Linked DNA regions of Styela clava. The main gene of each other region encodes a partner of the protein of the gene in region 2 in a complex. Links are inferred from orthologs where the notes say so. Each region holds a gene or a part of one and is shown on either strand. Other genes may lie near its edges.

The links.
Region 1: signal peptidase complex subunit 2-like (region 2) and signal peptidase complex subunit 1-like share a complex: the UniProt entries of both Drosophila melanogaster proteins name them as parts of the signal peptidase complex. The link is inferred for Styela clava from reciprocal best matches to the Drosophila melanogaster genes Spase25 and Spase12.

What each region holds. Positions count from the first base shown.
Region 1 is NC_135256.1:13,506,983-13,517,570, forward strand, and holds signal peptidase complex subunit 1-like, read right to left. Parts: upstream 2,840-10,588; 5' UTR 2,715-2,839; coding exon 2,682-2,714; intron 2,375-2,681; coding exon 2,315-2,374; intron 1,998-2,314; coding exon 1,911-1,997; intron 1,464-1,910; coding exon 1,338-1,463; 3' UTR 1,158-1,337; downstream 1-1,157. Other genes in the region: NADH-quinone oxidoreductase subunit B-like, read left to right, coding at 3,702-4,012, 4,899-5,322; chitobiosyldiphosphodolichol beta-mannosyltransferase-like, read right to left, coding at 7,728-9,143. UniProt on the Drosophila melanogaster protein: Component of the signal peptidase complex (SPC) which catalyzes the cleavage of N-terminal signal sequences from nascent proteins as they are translocated into the lumen of the endoplasmic reticulum.
Region 2 is NC_135256.1:9,465,527-9,476,180, forward strand, and holds signal peptidase complex subunit 2-like, read right to left. Parts: upstream 4,828-10,654; 5' UTR 4,676-4,827; coding exon 4,652-4,675; intron 3,408-4,651; coding exon 3,333-3,407; intron 3,073-3,332; coding exon 2,917-3,072; intron 2,495-2,916; coding exon 2,355-2,494; intron 1,938-2,354; coding exon 1,757-1,937; 3' UTR 1,012-1,756; downstream 1-1,011. Other genes in the region: uncharacterized protein LOC120329088, read left to right, coding at 450-588. UniProt on the Drosophila melanogaster protein: Component of the signal peptidase complex (SPC) which catalyzes the cleavage of N-terminal signal sequences from nascent proteins as they are translocated into the lumen of the endoplasmic reticulum.

The DNA.
Region 1 (10,588 bases), about 4.0 Mb from region 2:
TTGATGTCCTGACTATCAACCAAATATCTATTGGGTCAGCTTGTAGTGTTTAAGCCTTTTCTACATAAGTTATGCAGACCACTTTCTCTTTCTTGAGTCGGCTTATAAGGTGGGCTTTTGCTTTTAGTGTTCAGAATATACTGCACTGTATATACAAGTTATGCAAACCACTTCGACTTTCTCGATGCCATAATTATCTAGCCCAGCGGTGGGCAACCCCTGGCACGTGAGCCCGTTTATTCAGCACACGAAAGAGGCCTCAGAAACGAGATCATTCTCCGTTAGATAAAAAGTTTCGAGACTCTTAATTATCTGATGAAACTGTGTTCGTTTATTCATTATGTATCGCTTTTTTAACAATCCGTTCTTTAAACTCATTTTATGGCTACAAAGAAATATGTTATGACGTAACAAATAAATGAGCTTTAGAGAAATTTTGTCGAGAACAAAGCAGCATTCTTTGGCTACTTTGTTACGTAATATGCCCTTTTTCTTCATTTGGTTAGAGTTACTTGCTAACTTACTGTTATGAATGGATTTCGAAAGAAATATAAGCGATTAGGGAAGGGAATACAAGAGAGAAGTGCAGAAAACAAACCATTGCGAGATTGGGATGCCATTCCCAAAAAATTTTCGTGTCTTATAAACTATGCAACTGCATTACTTTCCGTGTTTTTATCTACATATGCTTGTGAATATCTTGTTCCCAGTCATGAACTTTATTAAGTCTCATAATAGGAGTAGCATGAAAGATGAAACCAGTAGTTCATGTACTCCTTTGAAAGTTACAAAATATAAACCCAATGTAAAATTTCTATCAGTGGTAATGCAACAGCAGAAGTCTCACTGATATAGAATAAGCAAAGTAATCGAATCTATTCCGAATAGCAAATATGTCTGTAGGTCTACATGTTTAAAAGGTTTATTATTGTGTATTTTTGCTTTGAAAGTAGCAAAGCATTGTTTTTAATTTTGGTCGGCACGCGGGAGAATTTTATCGTTCAATTTAGCCGATTTGGCAAGCAAGCCGAAAAAGGTTGCCCACCCCTGATCTAGCCAAATAGCTATTGCCAGGCTCTGAGCAAAACATGGGCACGATCTGTTTCTTTCACTATTGCTGACATCTCGATTCCTCACAACAACAAAAAAGACCAATATTATACAGTTGCACCATCCGGCAAGAAGACTTATATATAATATAAGACACAATAAAATAAAGCAGTCACTGCATAAATCTGGACTTCACATTCATTAGCATATAATATTCCATTTCCTGTTCTATGTAAGGTAGACGAAAATTCTTCTTTTCTCGTGCCCAAATGGCAATGAAGATATTTTTATTTTTGCTTCTTCTTGCTTCCCTTTTGTTGTTGTTGTTGGGATTGTGAAGATTCCATCTCTGGTTGAGGCTTCTGCCACTTGATCGGATTTCTCCTATACATGGGCCAAGGTGGCAATGTTAACTGAAATAAAAAACTTTAGATGAATTATCAAATCTATATGATGGAAGGAACTTATTTGTGTACAACGGTAGGAGTCCTGGTAAATTCTGTAACAGCGTTGAGAATTAATATGCTTCTCATTGACAATAAAGACTTTATCTTGCAGTGATCGACATTAAAACTGCCTATTTAGAGGTATTGATGCACAGGCTGCACTTGATTGATTAAACTTTTTCACCCAATTTAATGTGTAAAATACATGGAAAATTTTTCTGGTAGATAGCATAAATTTGATATACATTTACATATATACATTTACATAAGATTCCTTTGATACATGATGTTCAGCAAGGGTTCTTAGTTTTCCATTCGGGCCGTACTAAATTTTTTACACCCATTTGCACATATGTACTCATGTGCACAATCATACCAGGCTGTACTATTTTATTTTAGCTTATTTCCTCTTACCAAACATCCCAGGGCACACCCAGCTGCCAGTATGTACATCATATACGACATCTGTTGAAACATGTATCCCACAATAAAGCCGATGACCTGCAAAACAAACCAAATGTCACTCGTGCATATAAGCATTGGATTTTCCATTATCTTGACAATGCTGTAAGAACTGAACCTCTCGTCCGGTTACTCAATAAAGAATGTAAATTTTCAACTACTTAAACATGGTGGATTGGGCATCAACTAAATAAGAAGTTAAACAACTTTACGCCATCAAATTCAGCAATCTTATTGCGTATGTATGATCATGCTCCTTCGAATTTGACTCTTTGTGGGGTCAAATTATTATTGTGTGGGTACGTATCCAAGCAGTTGAGATTAATAAAATGAAAGTGCTTTCAGAAAATACTCACTCCAAATGTCACTGCAAGAACCTGGAACAGTTGTTCGGACAGTTTTTGTCCTTGATAATCCTGAAAGCAAATATATATTGTAAATGGAAATACATTAAAGCTTTATATAAGTCTGCACTCAAATCAATGGCTGAGTGGATTATGATCTCTGAATTTGGGAAGCTTTGATGAAAAATAGCTGTATCTGTGTAGCCTATACCTACTCCCACATTCTGACATTACCATAACTCTTCTGGCATGTTGTACACACACAGACACACTCAATAACCAGATGATTTACCTTCCATGAGTTATTGTCATACATAACTTAATCCATTAACAAATTCCTCATTTTACTTACAAGTGAAATATTAAATATGGGACTTACCATATGTGTCGGAATGCTGTCGAATAATCCCATTTTGAATGTTATTTCTAATCTAATTCACGAATACGGACTAAAAATGATTTAAAAAAGAATAAGAGTAAACACGTCGTATCATACCGTATATATTTGCGCGCACTACTGCACTACTAAAGTAAAACAAGGCGCTTCAACCCTACGAACGCAAATAACAAACTTGCTTCCACAGTTTCCAGGTTTCAGACATGAGGCACACATCATACATGCATAAATCTTTAAAGTCTGGAATATGATTGACAGTTCGACCATCAATGTACGCATTGGAACTTTGTCAAAAAATATTAGGAAAATGCGTTTTTAGATCTGTAAATGAAGCGAATTTTGTGCAAAAAAAAATATTTCAGGATGTAAATTTGATTTTTAATATTTTTTCCTATATTATTTCCACAAATTGGTATTTGTCACAATTTTTTTAGCGAATTTCTGGCAACAGATGTGTAATGGCCACGTTCGCCTCAAATCTGAATACTGTACTGTTAGTGGCTTAATCGGTACTTTACCAAAACGTTTTTCTGGCGTATTATACGTTTTTAATTTTTTCATATTTTTAATATAGTTGGTGTCAAAACACTTTATACAAGTACGGGCACATCTGAATGATTATTTGCATGGATGATTAGTACTGTACCTCTTCACACAAACCATTAATTTAAAAATTCCGTCGAAAAGACACAGCGATTGCCCTACATTCTTCATATAATTATTCTGTCGTATCGAATCTTATTTATCCATTTGCCTAAATAAATACTCTCCCTGAACTGCGTTGGGGTTGCAATGTAGTGTATGTCTACCAGTAAATTTGATCTTTGACCGTGATATATACTCTTTGACACAGTCACGTGATCGAGAGGAGTACTGAAGAACAGCAACAAATTCCAAGTCGATCGCTAGGTGTTGTGAGTTCGTCGCTGTCTTCAAGGTTTCGTGTGATTCGTTTTTGGTAATGATGTAAACGTTGTATCTCTTCGGACATTCAAGAGAAACATGGCTTCACTAATACGACATTCATCATTTTGGGGAGTTTCTCGGTGGTTTAGTTCAAGGGTTTGCGCAAGAACGTTGCATGTGAATCACACAGCGGAAACTGACAAAAAGCCTTCAGTAACCGAACCTTCCCAAGCAGCGCAGCCGTTACGACAAGAAATTTCAAAGTTGATGCATGCACCAGACAGAGCTGAATATTTTACAGCTAGGGTTGATGATCTTATTGGTCACATCCGTTCCAACACATTATGGCCTATGACTTTTGGACTAGCCTGCTGTGCTGTGGAGATGATGCATTTTGCTGCCCCAAGGTGAATCTTTGTTTTAAACAAATAATTGTTTTCTTACACCAGTGTATAAATCCAATACTTTTCGATGAATAATGTAAAATTCGACATATAATTATGATTGTTGTAGTCCTTTTTCGTTTCTAGATTCGCCACCTTAGCCTTTCAACATTTCTCGTTGTATTACTTTCTAACACATTTGTTGAAAAAAATGATGCAAGACTATTATGTTTTATATATTTTGGGATGTTTCAGACTTGAAAGTAATTGTATATGATACAGGCCTAACAGTATAAATGCAACGGAAATACCTATCTTGGTATTGTTGTTGATTTGATAGGCGCGGTGGTGTGGCTCAACGGGCTAAGCGTTAGGAATACGCTCGCCACCGCACCTCTAATTACTCTGCATGGGTTCGCAGGTTCGAATCCCATGCAGGGATGGTTATGTGCGAGAGGATTGCTGGACTCCTCGCCGTCGTTGGGTGGTTCACGTAACCGCTGGTCGGTTACGGCTTCCTCCACCACCAAGTCCATGCTTCCGAAAACAAACAATATAACTAATCCCATACCCGACTTGGAATGGTAACCGGACGAGAGGCCGTGGTTCGCCATATGGATAAGCCGTCTTATCGGCTTTCCTCTCCCCTGGGATAAATATGTAAATCCTATCCTATCCTATTTTCAAAAGAAGACTGTACAAATAAGTGTGACTGTGTACTGTATCTATATACAGATATAATGGATTGACTCGATTAAAACCATTTTCAACATTATGTTTATGAAAATGAAGTTTTCTTCAAGACATTCACAAATTAGAATCTGCTTGACGTTGATGAATACTAAATAACCAAAATTACATTCCGCCCAATTTGTGTATTGTCTGTTCTATTAATCAATTTGTATTTCAGGTACGACATGGATCGATTCGGTGTTGTATTTAGAGCAAGCCCTCGCCAAGTTGATCTTATGATTGTGGCTGGAACTTTAACAAATAAGATGGCACCTGCATTACGCATGGTATATGATCAAATGCCTGATCCCAAATGGGTACTATCGATGGGAAGTTGTGCCAATGGTGGAGGGTATTATCATTACGCTTATTCTGTTGTAAGGGGTTGTGATAGAATCGTGCCAGTAGATATTTACGTTCCCGGATGTCCACCAAGTGCGGAAGCCCTTCTATACGGAATTCTTCAACTGCAGAAGAAAATTAAAAGAACAAGAAATGTCTCGAGATGGTATCGTAGTAGGCGTCCCTACATCAAAACTCGTACAGAAATGCTTGAGAAAGTTACTTCGGACAGCTCAACTGGAGAAGTTGTCAAACAATAAAAAATATCATTTTGTGCTCTTGCTTTGTTCAAAATTATCTCACTCTAATATTTCTTTTATGTCCATTAAAAAGTTGAATCTAAATCTTAACCATGGACTTGTTGAAATTACACTTATAGATGAAATTAACAGCCGGATTGAAGTTAGTTGCAGTATAGATTTATAGAAGTATTCTCATTCTCAGGGTTCAGCTTGTAAGCCAGGCATGATTTACTTTTTGTGGGCGAAAGCTACATATATATGATCTGTGATGGATTGTTAACAATGTTCCTACGCTGCAAATTCATTCATTTGTGACATATCTAGTTTTGCATTCAAACTGTGAAAGCAGCAAGAGATGACCTCAGGATGGTTTAAAATAATTGCTTCTCTACTAATAATATTTAATTTGGGTTTCATCAGTATATTGCAGCAAATCAAACAACTACTTAGAAATGCAAAAGACTTTACTCTGTGCCTGCCTGGCTCATTCTAATCTAAGCAATAGTGTCTGCTCTTGGATTATTTCTAGTATGGATTGCAACAGCAGCATCTCTATTGCAATAGCTAAATGCTTGTTGCACATGGCATGATTGTTTAATTTAGTTAAAACGGTCTGTTGTAAGCAGGGCTGGGGCGCCGGAGCTGGAGTCGGAGTTGGAGCCAAGCTTTTCATAACAGATGGAGCTGGAGTCGGAGCCGGAGCTACCAAAAATTTAGTGGCTCCAGGCTCCAGCTCCTAAATATCTCATTTTTTGTTTTTCAAATTTATAATTTTTTTCTGATAGCGTTACAAATGATAAAATCTTTTCTTTTCAGCTTATAATTCATTTTAAAAATTTTAGTTCCTAATATTTTTTGAAAAGTTTCCAGTTATTCTGTATGTTTGAAAGTTTAGTATCAAAATTTGAAGCGGTTCGCTTTTATCAAAATCTTGATTCTCATTTCCACTAAGCTGCAATTTTTCATGATTGCGGTCAAGCTCAAAAACCCTAATGGCCAGGGATTTTCGAAGAAGTGATTTTGGAATTTCCATGTAACATATTATGATTTTTTCGTGGCGTTGAATATCCAATCCATTTCAAATGTCTTCAATTCTGTTCAACGTATCTCGAGATTGAGTCGTTTCACGACAAAAGAAAGGTTTAGCTACTCCAAAATGCACCGCAGCAGTCACCTATCATAAAAATGTATGGCAAAGTGCCCCATTACGGTATATCTTGTTTTGATCCATAACATAGCATGTTCTGGAGAAAAGTCTCATCAATTTCCGTTGTTATTTTTTGAATATATAAAAAGTATATCGCGAGTAAGATTGATTGCGTTTAGATTTATTTTAGTGACTGTATAATTTTCAAAGTCAACCGGTAAATAATATGTCGTAGGCAAAAAAAATAATGAGATTAACAAGGCATTTTTTTTTAGCTGTTGGGAGTCTCCGAGAACAAAGTTTATAGTGTTTTCCGTTTCATTTTAGTATCTTATAATAACTCACCATATTTGTGAGAAAACGAGTTATTACATAATCATCGGTGATGAAATTCTAAGATAAATAAAGAAGTCAATACGCAAACCAAATTTTCCTGATTAAAAAGCGACATTAGAAAATACTAAAAATAAAACAGAAAACACCATAAGTTTTGCTTTAGAATGGCCCACGACAGATTTTATTTGGCTGCATGATTGCCAGTTATGTTGAACACAATTAAATTAAAATAAAAAGACAGTTATTATGGGTTAAATATTATGTGGTAGAAAAAGTCATTATGAGCTATTTTACCGAATGCGCAAACGCTGCGACCATTCCAGAAGCCGATTTTCCTTCCCGTCTTATTGTGGGGTTATATGTAAAACCCTTATATGCGGGGTAGACCGATTCGCCCGGAAATACACCATATAATAACTCTCAGTGGATTCACAAGTTACATGCAGGAACAAAAAGGAATTATCATGACACCGACTTGAAGGGTGTTTACAGCCAAAATAACATGCCACACTTAGAAAACAATTAGCAAAATGCGTTATTGGGCTGCACTGCCAGCTCCGGCATTAAAAAAATGAAGCTCCGGAGCCGGAGTTGGAGCTAAAGATTGAATACACTGCGACGCTGGAGCCGGAGCCATCATGATTTCGAACCAGCTCCCCAGCCCTGGTTGTAAGAAACCCCATTGGTTCGGGTAACATTTTGTGATAAATTAATGTCTGCTGTCAACTAGATTTTTTTTTATACATTGTTCGTAAAAAACATGTCACAAGTACAACACATTGAATTAAACATTTACAATCATGCTACAAAAAATACATTAACTAACAAATATAAGTACAACAGAGTGATAGCTAGATAATGTATGGGGGAACAGAAAGAACAAATGGGAATTTCATCCATCCAATGATTGAAAAATATTAGACAAATGAAGTAATAAATATTACGACTTGAACAATGGCAGCACAATTTCATCCCAATTTTTCGACCAAGTTGATTGACGAAACATTTTCAAATTATTTCTCATATTTGTTAAAGTTTGTTGGTTTCGAGGAAAGCCGTCTAGCAGTTCACATAGCTGATCATGCAGAGTATTTTCATTGTTAAAAATTACACCATTTATGTTGTCTTGCACCAACTCCTCAAGACAGTTAAACCCTATTGCAGCAACTGGCACACCACAACCGAACATGTCTACGACTTTCATTGGCAAGTCAAGGCCACTGGATGAAGTATGTAGGCATACTCCAAGATCAGCACTCCCAATTAATAAGGGATAATCTTCTGCTGTCAACCATGGTGTGACTATTTGAACGTGTTTCCAGTCAATTTTACTAATTTCATTCAAATAATATTTCTTCATCGGCCCTTTGCCAGTGATAGCACATATAACATCCGGTAAATTTTCATTATTCAATTTTGTTTTATCGTACATTTTTAGAGCATTTAGTAATATGGAAAAATCTTCATCTTCTGTCCAACTTGTACTGCTTACGATGAAAGCAGGACGATTATCTCTTGCTGTGACACTCCCATCTTTTGAAATAGTACAAAATGTGCTATCGTCATTAGGGCTAAAACCAAACTCAGGATATTCATGTTTCAATTTTGAGAAAAGATCATGCTTCTCATTGATACTCAATGGCTTGAAGATTTCAGGTGGTCTATCATAAAGTACAATGGCATGTATGTGCCAGTTATCCTCCAGGTCTTTCTGCATTGCTTTGGTGACACATATATCACTATACACCAGCTGACCAACAACTTTTTCATACCAATGTGCCAGTCTGACCAATTTATGATTTTTTCCCAAACTCATACCAAGTATAGTATAACCATAATTATGCCAGTCAATGATGACTTTGCTGCCGTTAAAAATCCCAAATAGCCAGCATATGAACATACAAGGGATGCAGGGCGGATTTTGCATGAAAATATATTCAGATGCACCAACTTTAAAGAGCAGCTTTGTGCTGAGTATTAAAGACTGCATAATCACTTTAACGAAGTAGGCAAATAATCGAGGAAAGTAATTAGAAAAAGTATCTTTTGTGAGGCTATGTAATACAATTCGTTTGCTGTCTAGAATCTTTTGACTCGGGGTTGAGTCACCATAACCAACAATGTCCACATGAAAACCATGTTTTTCTAATGACAAAGCATGATATTGCATTCGTGGACTTCGTCCTATATCACCAAGAACAACAACTGTAACTTTTGACATTTTCTTGCTTGAAACTTGCCATCTGCGACATAAGATAACAATGATAAATAATAGAAGTATACGACACAGGAAGGTGATAGGCACCAGAATGAATGTATTTATACTCGAGAGTAGATAATGTGTTGTCGGATCCATTTTACAAATGATTCTGCACACTATACAGTTAGGCCTATATCTGTATATGGAATTAATGAGGCAATTTTAACTGTAAAGAAAATAAATAATAGAGAGGAGATAACCAATACCTGAATACTGCAATAGAGACCAGCAGGTGGTTAGATTATCGTATCTTTGAAATTCTGATTTATTATAAATGGGGGGTAAAGGGAATACCGGTACCGGTACCGTCTCACATTAGTCTGTCATTTTAGTTACATAGATAACGTTAGTCTATCATAAATGGAAAAAGAGGTGGCGGATACCTGGATAGGGTTTACATATTTATCAATAGGAAAGGAAAGCCGATAAGACGGCTTAACCATATAGCGAACCCACGCAGAGTACCGTAATCCAGTAATCTGAGGTTCAGTGGCAAACATATTTGGTATTCCTAACGCTTAGCACAATGAGCCAAACGCCTCCTCTAGGTGGTTCGGTACTTACAGGCTTAGGAAAGAGTCAGACAGGCGACAGGAAGTAGGACAAGACTATTTCTAATGACTTGCTCAATTCTACATCAACTACTGTACCGGTACGTACCACATTATTTACGCTTTGTACTACATGACAAAAGGCTGACTGTGGACTAGTGAACCACCTGACTAGATTACTATATTTTGCTGCTTTTGCCCGACAGCTCAGATCCATTGAGGTGTATATAGACTATATGCTATAACACGAATTCTACAAACAAAACCGACCTTTGACCCCCGAAAATTTTCCTTCTATGAACCTTTCCCCAACCTCTGACCCACGGAAAATTTTTGGGGCTATGAGTTGGCGCCTGTAAAATGGGGCATTTGTTTCAAACCATCATTAGGATTCATCGCACAAAATATTCTGTTTGTTAAAAGTACCGGTAAATAGAGCCCAAAAACGCGAAAACGAGGTAATGTTTACGACCACTCTTGAAAATCTGTCTGAGTGAGGACAGTGTCTGAGCGGATGCAAAAAGGGAGCATTGTAACGTCATTTTTTCCATCTTGCTGATTGGCCAATGTCACGAAGTAAACAAGGAAGTCGATGCTCGGGGAAAGCTCCATACTTTACTATTATAAAATTTTCGGGGCTTATTTTAAGAGTGGTAGCGTGAGTTGGCGCCTGTAAAATAGGATATTTGTTCTAAAGTCTAAACCATCATTATAATTCATTGCATACAATAAACTGTTTTTTCAAAAATACTGGTAAAAAATTTCAGCCTAGTCTATCACAGCTATTTCTACACTATTTTTTTTATTACTGCAAAACTCATAGGAAGACAAAGTGATCATTGAATTATCTGATTTATAATTAAATTTCCGAAACAAAACTGAAAACTAACGAATAGCGTTCAAAAACGCAAAAACGAGGTAATGTTTACGACCACGCTTGAAAATCTGTCTGAGCGTAAATATATACTACTACCATGAGAGAGAAAAGTG
Region 2 (10,654 bases):
TTAGTTATGTTAAACAAAATTCATTAAATGTTCGGGGCGCACTAGTGAAGACCGCTGGATCAAACGATAAATGCTGTTTTACCCAACACCAGTTTGGTCCACAAAGTGGTTCACTTATCCGCTGCTCTTCACGGTCTTCTACACATCAAACTCGGCGGTTGGAGCAGCGTGCTGAGCATTAGGAATACGCTTGCTATCGCATAATCATGCACGTGAGGATTCCTACCGTATGGTGGTTCGCTTAACCTCTGGCCGATCACGGCCTCCTCCACCGTGGCTATAAGATAAGTCTTTCCCCCGGGATAAATATGAAAATCCTAAAACATGAAAGGCCACACGTCTGATTAATCAACCGAATACTCCCATTTCTTACTAAGAGGCGTTGGTTCGTCATATCATTGAGAATACAAGCAAAAATCTTATTTCAAGCATTTTATACTTGTTATTAGGTACAGATGCAAGCATTGTGGTGCAACAGGAGATAAAGCACACACAGACTCGTACTGCCCAACAATCGCACAAGACAAAAGGAGCATGAAGTCGGTCCTAACGACGTTGAAGACATCATCAGGAAAATACCGCAAATAAGACTACAACACCTTTAGCATTTTTCACATATATCTTACTTTAATCTCTCCCCGCATTACTACGACCAGTTGTGTCTAAAAACAAAAAGGTCTCACTCTCGTGTTCGATAATCTCCACCAATCACAACAGTCCATCTACTAATCGCGTACCCCACATGGACTGGTAACCCGACCAGAGGCTTCCAGGGTTCATCACTCAATTAAGTCGTCTAATCGGGTTTCCTCTTCCCTGGATAAATATGTAAATCCTATTCTACCAGAATGATCCAAATGATAGCCGCTCTAATTTTCCTCAAATTTACCAGATGTTGTCAAGCAAAGGGTAAATCAAATTGTTAATGGTATTAGTATTACCTACAATAACTTTTTTAACTAACATTTTTCAAGTGTCTGTCTATCTTTAATTTAACTTACTATAGTCAAATTTCACTTTTCGTTCATTATATTCTGTGCATTTCTGAGTATATTCAATCATTCACTGCATATCTTCAAAAGCAAAGCATTAAAAAATTTGCTTAATTAATGATTTTCAATTCTAACATTACTGTAACTCTTCACATTTGCAAATTGAATACATCAACACTTAAAAGGGCAAGAATGTTCCTGTGGAAGCTATTTTACCATACATTACCAGGTTATTCCACCTGACCTAGGTGTAAAAGAAAAAATAGAAATGCACATTTGGAAAGAAGCATTGACTGGTAACTGAAATATAACCTCGCTTCCAACTTAGGTAGCAGCAAACATGAAATGTTGTTTCCCTAAACAGTCAAGTAAAACATAACATGATTGGTCAAACAATGAAAGTAGTAAACAATGCTGACTGGTACAATGAGGAGGAATCTTGAATGGCAAAATGAATACAGGAACCCCATATGGGAGAGAATACATAAAACGAACAGATACTATGAATCGCCATATAAAATCTCAACATTTGCAGGCAAATTATTGTTACAAGAGTGGTAATTTACTTTAAGCCATGTTGATACAGTAATGAAGTCGTTCAGACAGGACATATTTAGTGATTAGTTGTGGAGAGCCTCGCCCAATGGCGAAAAATGAAATTATTTCTTAACCATCAAATCTGTTCGGATTCTGCAAAGAGGGACACAACAAATGACAACTTTCGAGGAAACCAAATGAACTAGTAAAAATAAACAGTATTCATTTCATTGGGCCTTTTTCTTTTGTGATAGGGACCGATGTAGCTCCATGACCTTTATTTCAAAGCTATCCATGAGTTGGCCATTCTCATCAAAATATTCTCCAGCAGATTTTGTCAGTTCTGCTTTTCGCTCTTCACCTTGTGGGTCTTTAACGACTATTTGCAGTGTGTAGTTTTCATCATACCTGTTATTTACATATCTCATGTAGTTTAATCAAGAAATTCTGATATCATAATTGTATTATACACAATGATGGTTTTTAACTGAGCAACACTAAGGCTTACTCGAAATAGTTTTTATATTATAATAAGTTGATTAGTAATCAGCGGAAAAAATTGACAACATCCATTTGCACTTTTCATCACCTTTCCCAAAAAGGGCCACATATCTATCAACAAATTTGAGATAAAATTGTAATCTAACTTTATGAGAACTGTACTCGAACCTACATATTCAGAATAGACAGGAAATTAACACAACAAGAACATACAAATGTACACTAGAATGGAATATTTGGTTCTGAGATCCACTTCACTTGTTCCTACAATACAGATGTCCATCAGTTATATCTTGCAATGTATATATAATAAATACTACTCACTTCGGCATTGTCGATGATAGAGTCCAGACAATGTCTGGATCTACACCTGCTATATCCTTCTCTCTTGCAAGCAAAAATACATTCTTCTCAACAAAGTTGGCATAAGCTGTTAAGACTCCCATAAGGACGAAATATGAGACCTAAAATGTGTCAAGTGAAAACTGACATATAATGTATCAAAACTTCTATTATTATAGAGAGAAATGACCAAATGGCAGCAATATTTTAGTAAAACAATAAATAAATTATATATACTCTAAAATTCCGGAAAACAAGTCTAAGAACTTACCAATATTATAAGCTTTCAAACACAAATATTCCTCTTACTTCTGGTATTGTCCATATCCATAAATTTAGGATCTTAATATTCTATTTTTCTATCAAATTCATTTAGAATTGGACATGACTCACTGATTTACCAATTAAAAAAAGAAAAAAATTCAGAATTCTTAAAATAAATCTTTTTGAAATAAGTTAATTTCAAATTTTGTATGAACCAAATTATCAGGATATCCCCAACTGTTTTTTTCGAGTACCTAAAGCTTAATAAAAACGTGCTTACCACACAAAGTATAATAACAGGCCTTGATGCTGGGAAAGGATGAAGATAATCCCAAAGTAAGGCAAATAATGCAAATAAAACAGCAGTTGTACATATTGCCAGGCGAGTATCAATTAACTTGAAGTCTTCTTGATAACCAAGGTTGTCGAGGATTATCTGAATGCAAAATACGAATTACTAGTTCATTTTAATGAGTTTAGGTATTTGAGAGCATTGGTGATTAGAAAAAAATGTTCGCGTGGTAGACTACCGTGGTACACTTAAATTGGAATATATAAAATGTACAGGCCTCACAATTTTCTTAAAAACATGGCTGGAAGCTTGGAAATATAAATCTGAAACAATTAATTGTTTCATTATAAGATTTTAAGAAATAGACGGTCAAACTGGAAATTTAATTAAGGAAGAGAACAAACCTTTTTAGCAGCATCATCCAATGCAATTCTCACTGCATTATGGTCCCACTTTTCCACCTTGAATGGTTTTTCCTCCTATGAATATATGAATAATAAAAAGTGAGCATGGCATAATTTATACATTGTAGAATGTCAGTCAAACATTGTCGTCGTCGTGAGAATGTAGTAAGGAAAAAAAATTTTGCAAAATTTCATGCATGATCTCTGTGCAGCTGTATGCTGATTCCACGTTAACATCCATGTGATATTACAAAAACCTTGAATTGACTAACCGGGTAACGTAAATATATGATTTTATGTAGTCTACCCAAGTGTTAGAAATCAGATAGAACAATTTATCGATTGATAAATTGAGTTCTTTCGATTCAATCTTACACATTTTGGGAAAATATCGAACCCAAAATTCTGCGAGTAATTATCCAAACAACACCGTACTGCGCAGATTGCTATGCAAGAATATGTTTAGTAGGATTTAGGATAGGATTTACATATTTATCCCGGGGAGAGGAAAGCCGATAAGACGGCTTATCCATATGGCGAACCACGGCCTCTCGTCCGGTTACCATTCCAAGTCGGGTATGGGATTAGTTATATTGTTTGTTTTCGGAAGCATGGACTTGGTGGTGGAGGAAGCCGTAACCGACCAGCGGTTACGTGAACCACCCAACGACGGCGAGGAGTCCAGAAATCCTCTCGCACATAACTATCCCTACATGGGATTCGAACCTGCGAACCAACGCAGAGTAATTAGAGTTGCGGTGGCGAGCGTATTCCTAATGCTTAGCCCGTCTACAGGGGTGGTGACTCCTCTACAGCCCATGGGCCGGGGCCCATCTAATTGGGCCACATGGGCCGTGGCCCATCAAGCTATGGGCCGCGGTCCATCAAAAAAAATTCAATTATCTTGCCAAAATTTTCAATTATATTCGAACCAAAAAAAAATCGCGGGATGCCAGTATGCCACCAAACCTTTTTCTTACAATAAGCCTTTAAATAAAAATAAAGCAAAATACCAAGCTACAGAAAAGGATACACCTGAAGTTTGTGTAGTCTACCAGGTTAGGGTTAGGACAAAATTTTGTTCAGATTTTTCACATTATAGGCCTAGTTCTATTATGAGTTCGGGGAGTGGGTAGGATTTACATATTTATTAGTTTTTATTATTTTATCCCTTTACAAAAATTGATGGGCCGAGGCCGATTTCGATGGGCCGTGGCCCCGGCCCATGGGCCGTAGAGGAGTCACCACTTCCACTCTAGCCCGTTGAGCCACAGCGCCGCGCCATACGATACCGTACCATACCCATCATAATCACCCACCTGCTTGCTATCGTCGTTAGCCATTATTTCTTCAGACTATCGATACGCTGCTACAATAGAATATTCAAAATCAGGACGAGAGAACGGGAGGAACTTTCTAAAGAGTAATCTACTTGCTACAAAACAATTAAATGCACAAACATATGTCGCCGTCAGACTCCCACACCATTCATGCGTGACAGGCACGTGTCCTAAGTTCATTGAACCCGAGACATATATTGAAAAGGCGAAAAAACCTACAAAAAATAGAGGAAGGTGCATTTGCTTCGAGTCACAAACAAGGGTGCAAGTTTCAAACAAACATTTTGAGTAGGTTTTCGTATCAGAACGATTTTCTATTTTCATTAATTTTACAAATACTTAAATTTGGGAGACTCATACCTTTACAACGAAAAAAGATGGAGTAATATTTCCAAGCCATTGGAAATAAGATACGGTAACTTTAGTTAAAGGATGCAACTCCTCCATGCACATATCGACACTAGTCAACAACTGTTTTTTTTCAATAGTTCAAATTAGGGCTCAGACGTGCTAAGCGTCAGGAATACGCTTGTCCCCGCACATCTGATTACCCTGCAGGTTCGCATCCCTCGTGACTCTTTCGCGTATATAGGATAGGATAGGATTTACATATTTATCCCGGGGGAGAGGAAAGCCGATAAGACGGCTTATCCATATGGCGAACCACGGCCTCTCGTCCGGTTACCATTCCAAGTCGGGTATGGGATTAGTTTTACTGTATTGTTTGTTTTCGGAAGCATGGACTTGGTGGTGGAGGAAGCCGTAACCGACCAGCGGTTACGTGAACCACCCAACGACGGCGAGGAGTCCAGCAATCCTCTCGCACATAACCATCCCTGCATAGGATTCGAACCTGCGAACCCACGCAGAGTAATTAGAGGTGCGGTGGCGAGCGTATTCCTAACGCTTAGCCCGTTGAGCCACACCGCCGCGCCTGGTATTGGGAAGCTGGCACAGTCCACCCAAAGTGGAACTCTCACCAAACTTTTCAGAACTTCGCAAAGTGACGGACGATGGTCTTCTCCCTTCAAAATTTATCCATCCAAAAAACATACTCACCCTTCATATTTTAGTTTCCTAACTATACCCTACCTCATCGTACCCCATTTTCACAATGTGCGTTTTATCCAAGACTTGGAGCTTGTACCCCTATAGAGGACTTGCACGGGTCACGTGACCTTGTTACTGGACGGCAATAAAACAAAAACGTCCATTTGGCTCCTGTCAGTTGCAAGTCGGATTATACGTTTCCGTTTTGTTTGGCTGTTGAAAATGGTTATTTCGTATTGTTCCGCTGGCTGTACGTATAGTATAGACAACGAAATGGAACTTCAGCTATATTCCACTGTTTTCAAAAGATCCGGAACGTCGCGCAATGTGGATATCATCTATTGGCAGGACTGCTTGGTGTCAAGTCCAGAAGCCATCTTACTCGTGTTTCACTGTTTGCGGACAGCACTTCGTTGATGGTGAGTCATGATGTGCCGTTATCAATTTTTTTAAATATTCATAAGCTCCCTCATTTCAATGGAAAGCAGATGACAAACTACTGTTATTGGTAGGCTTAGGCCTACTTGCAGACTTGACTCGTGTAAGATATTAATCAATAATTGCCATAAGGTATTGTTTCCCTAGTTAGCAGGTAATCTATTAGTAATTGTTAAAATTTGAATAGATAACTAAAGTTTAATGCCAGTGCTAATGCAAAAAATAACCAGAATTTAATTGAATTCTCTATCTGAGAATACGCTCGCCACCGCATCTCTGATCCCCATGGGCAGATGGGAGTTTCACAGGTTCCAATCCCATGCGGGGATAGTTATGTGCGAGGGGACGAGGAGATTGAGCTCCTCCCACTGAGGGTGGTTCACACGACCGCTGGGCGATTACGACATACCCCACCATTAAGTCCATGCTTCTAAAACAAATAACTGGCTAACTAATCCCGACATAGAATGGTAATCGTACGATGTTGCACCTTGCAATCTGTCCCCAACCACAGATAAATTCTATCCTAAAAACTACCCACATTGGTAGGCATAGTTGCGTTTTAAATTGAAAGAACTCTTCATTAATGGTCAGAAGGTGTTGTCTGATTATTTTGGTAGTTAGCAGGTAATTTATTACTGATCTGATACACAAACTTGGCACTGTCAAATGATGATTAGTGTTTAATTTATTTTCAGGAAAAAGGGAAGATAACCCATTATCAGCTGCTTACAGGTCCCATCGATATTTGAATTTTCGCCATCCCCAGAGAAGAAGAGAATAGTTCGAAAAAGGAGGATTTTGAAGAAAGGAAAAAGGCAGGACCATTTCAACAAATTCTGTTAACTTGTATGCGTTGCAATATTAATTCGCAGTTGTTAGCATAAACATTTAATGTGTCTTTCGACTAGACCTACCACACTTAAAAAAAAACGCCCACACCCCTTTTCACTAGAACCATAATACTGTAAAATATTTGATAGAAATTACCCCCGAGGCATCATATCTTTCATTTGAAAGGGCTGTGGAGGCAGATACATTTTTTACTCTAAATTATGGAATGTTACTTCCAGGTTATCTTATCCTTGCTTATAGATATCTTGAGGTTAGTGACTCCAACTGACCCATGCATGCCACACTGAAAATTCTCTTGTGTACCCATAAAATAAGGCTGTTGGAGCCTTCAGACCTTGAAAACAGTCGAATCTGAGCACGATGGATTCATGTGAAACACATAATATGCATTTAGAGGCAAAAATATCCCATCCTGAGCAGCACCGATCCACAACATCCTGCCTATGGAATCAAAACATTAGACAAATTGGTGTACTGTGCGCATTCACAAATTTTTGCGAATCAAGTGTGCCTTTTGACTAAAGAAATTGTTTTTTGAAAATACATTTTTGATGTGCTTTATTTTTCAAATATAATTTATAATTACTGTAAAGTGTGTGATACATTTGGTACCATGAATACTATTTGCAAATTAGCTTGGGTTACACCCCTCTCAAATAAAAGTTTAGACTCTTAAGTCGTATCTCATAATATTCTTTAAACAAAAGGTTGCGGCTAGCTGGCTACCCATCAGAATTTCCTTTCAGATCACAAAGTCGCAATATTACGCCTCGCTTAAGTTTCATTGGCAACTGTATCTGGTTGTAGTATCGGTGTCCATCGTTAGACTGAAACCTTCACGACCAGACCCACCGAAACAATTTTTTTTTCTTGATAGGGTCGTCTTGAAGTTGATTTCGTTAAAGCACAATGGACACTTTATCTCCACCAATCCACAGTAATGACAAGTTACTTTGTCATTACGATAAGCATCAATAAATGGATACTGAGGATGTATTATCAAGTCACGCAAGCTGAGGTCTTGTGCCACTGTGGTCTTGTTGCAACTTATACTTTGCCATCCATCTATTCCATGGTCGCACCCATATCTGTAAGATAATGGATACAGATAAGAGTTTTCATAAAATCTAACGATCAAGGAGTGTGAAATTTAGGGCTGGGCATTTCGATTTCAGAATCGAATCGAATAATTTTTTCGAATCGAATCTCGAATACTTGAAAATATAAAATTGTAAGCGACTTTATCATAGTAATTGGTCCTCTCAACAAATGAATTATTGAAGACATAGAATAAATCACTCAGATAGATTACTGAGCGTTCACACAGAATAACAAACACGTTTTATCAATAACTCACTACAGAAAATAGTTATATGTTAGAATTTCGTTGAAAAAATATGACTTCAATGAAAAAAAAATTGGGGAATTCACCTCGACCATTAGCGGAAAGATAAAAACAAGATGGCGGCGATTCGAAATTCCAGTCTGAACCGATTCGAATAATTTACTATTCGATTCGAATGGAAATGCCCAGCCCGGGTAAAATTTATGTCCATATCCCACCACAGCCACTAGTCGTAAATGAATTTGATTCCGGGTAGGTAGCATATCTTTTTTACCAATGACAATAAAAAGACATTTTGAATCAGTTGTACAAGCACCATTAGGATAGGATTTATCTGGGGGGGGGGGGGGGGAGCCAGTTATTTGTTTTCAGAAGCATGGACTTGGATGGTGGGGAATGGTCGTAACCGATCAGCGGCCATGTGAACCACCCTCGGTGGGAGTGGAGCTGCAATCCTCTAGCACATAACTATCCCCGCATGGGATTGAAACCTGTGAAACTACCAGGGTGATCAGAGATGCGGTGGCGAGCGTATTCCTAGATGGCGAATTAAATTGAATTCTGGTTATTTTTTGCATGACCAGTGGTGTTAAACTTTAGTTATATATTCAACCTTTCACACCTAGTAATAGATTACCTGCTAATCAGGAAACAATACCTTCTGTCAGACCTTACAGCAGTACAGCAATTGATTATTAATTCCTTACTGTCTTACACAAGTCAAGTCTGCAACTGCAAGTAGGCCCACGCCTAGGCCTACTGATAACAGTAGTTTGTCATCTGCTTTCCATTGAAATGAGGGAGCTTGTGAATATTTAAAGAAATTGATAACGGCACACTATCACCACATTATCACTCACCATCAACGAAGTGCTGTCCGCAAACAGTGAAACACAAGTAAGATGGCTTCTGGACTTGACACCAAGCAGTTCTGCCAATAGGCAATAGATGATATCCACATTGCGCGACGTTCAGGATCTTTTGAAATCAGTGGAATATTACTGAAGATCCATTTCGTCCATGTCTATACTATACGTACAGCCAACAGAACAACGAAATAACCATTTTCAACAACCAAACAAAACGCAAACGTATAATCCGACTTGCAACTGACAGGAGCCAAATGGACGTTTTTGTTTTATTGCCGTCCAGTAACAATGTCACGTGACCCGTGCAAGTCCTCTATATGTATATCGCGCATTCTCATAATTAATCCATGAAAAGCACATAACGGTTAAATTGGAGATATGATGGCATTTGCAGTATTATCATTAACATTCGACTTTTACTACAATAATGCGCTACCAAACTGCTTTGACGACATACTTGCCAAAAATACCTTCATCCGAAGAAGTAATTCCAATTTGTTCCTACCCTTCATGAGTAAATCTGTGGGCCATGTCCTATACTGGGCCTAGACTACGGAATTCTTTCCTCTTGAATTTGAAGATGTTGAAAGTTTAAAACCCAAAAAATCAAGTCAAGACTTAGGCTACTTCAACGACTAACATACCGATTTCGTCTGTATTTCAATAAATGGGTAAAACTTATATCGGCTAGGCATTTATTCTTTTTACCGAGTACAAAATGTATTGTTTCAATCTTTCTCTGTTTTATTAAATTTTACGTCTTTCTCTGATTTAAAAATAGGGGAATCGCCCTATAATCGCATCCACCGTGTCGCAATTACAGTAAGTAAATTCGCGACAACTGTGCATTTTATTTGCGATCAATTCATGGTACACGGCACCGCGGGTTCGATGCGGGTACGGTACCGGTACCGGTACCGGTACCGGTAACTGTCTGCTAGCTTTACCTAGGTAGATGGCCAATATGTTATGTTCAGATGTTTAATTTTTAACAAATGTTAGACTTGTCCCGTTGTAGGTAACCTTAGACCAGTACGGAAACCTAGTAAACAGATTGGGTGGTTCACGTAACCGCTGGTCGGTTACGGCTTCCTCCACCACCAAGTCCATGCTTCCGAAAACAAACAATACAGTAAAACTAATCCCATACCCGACTTGGAATGGTAACCGGACGAGAGGCCGTGGTTCGCCATATGGATAAGCCGTCTTATCGGCTTTCCTCTCCCCCGGGATAAATATGTAAATCCTATCCTATCCTAAATTCCAGAATTCTGTAGTTTGCGATACTGGTACCTATGACCTACCGGTACGGTACCTGTACTTGAGACATTTTGTTGGTGTTTGGTGCCACAGGAGGAGATAAATTTGTGATGAATTAATCTTTTTTGAAAAAATCGTACAGTATGCAAAAGGTGGTTTGTGATT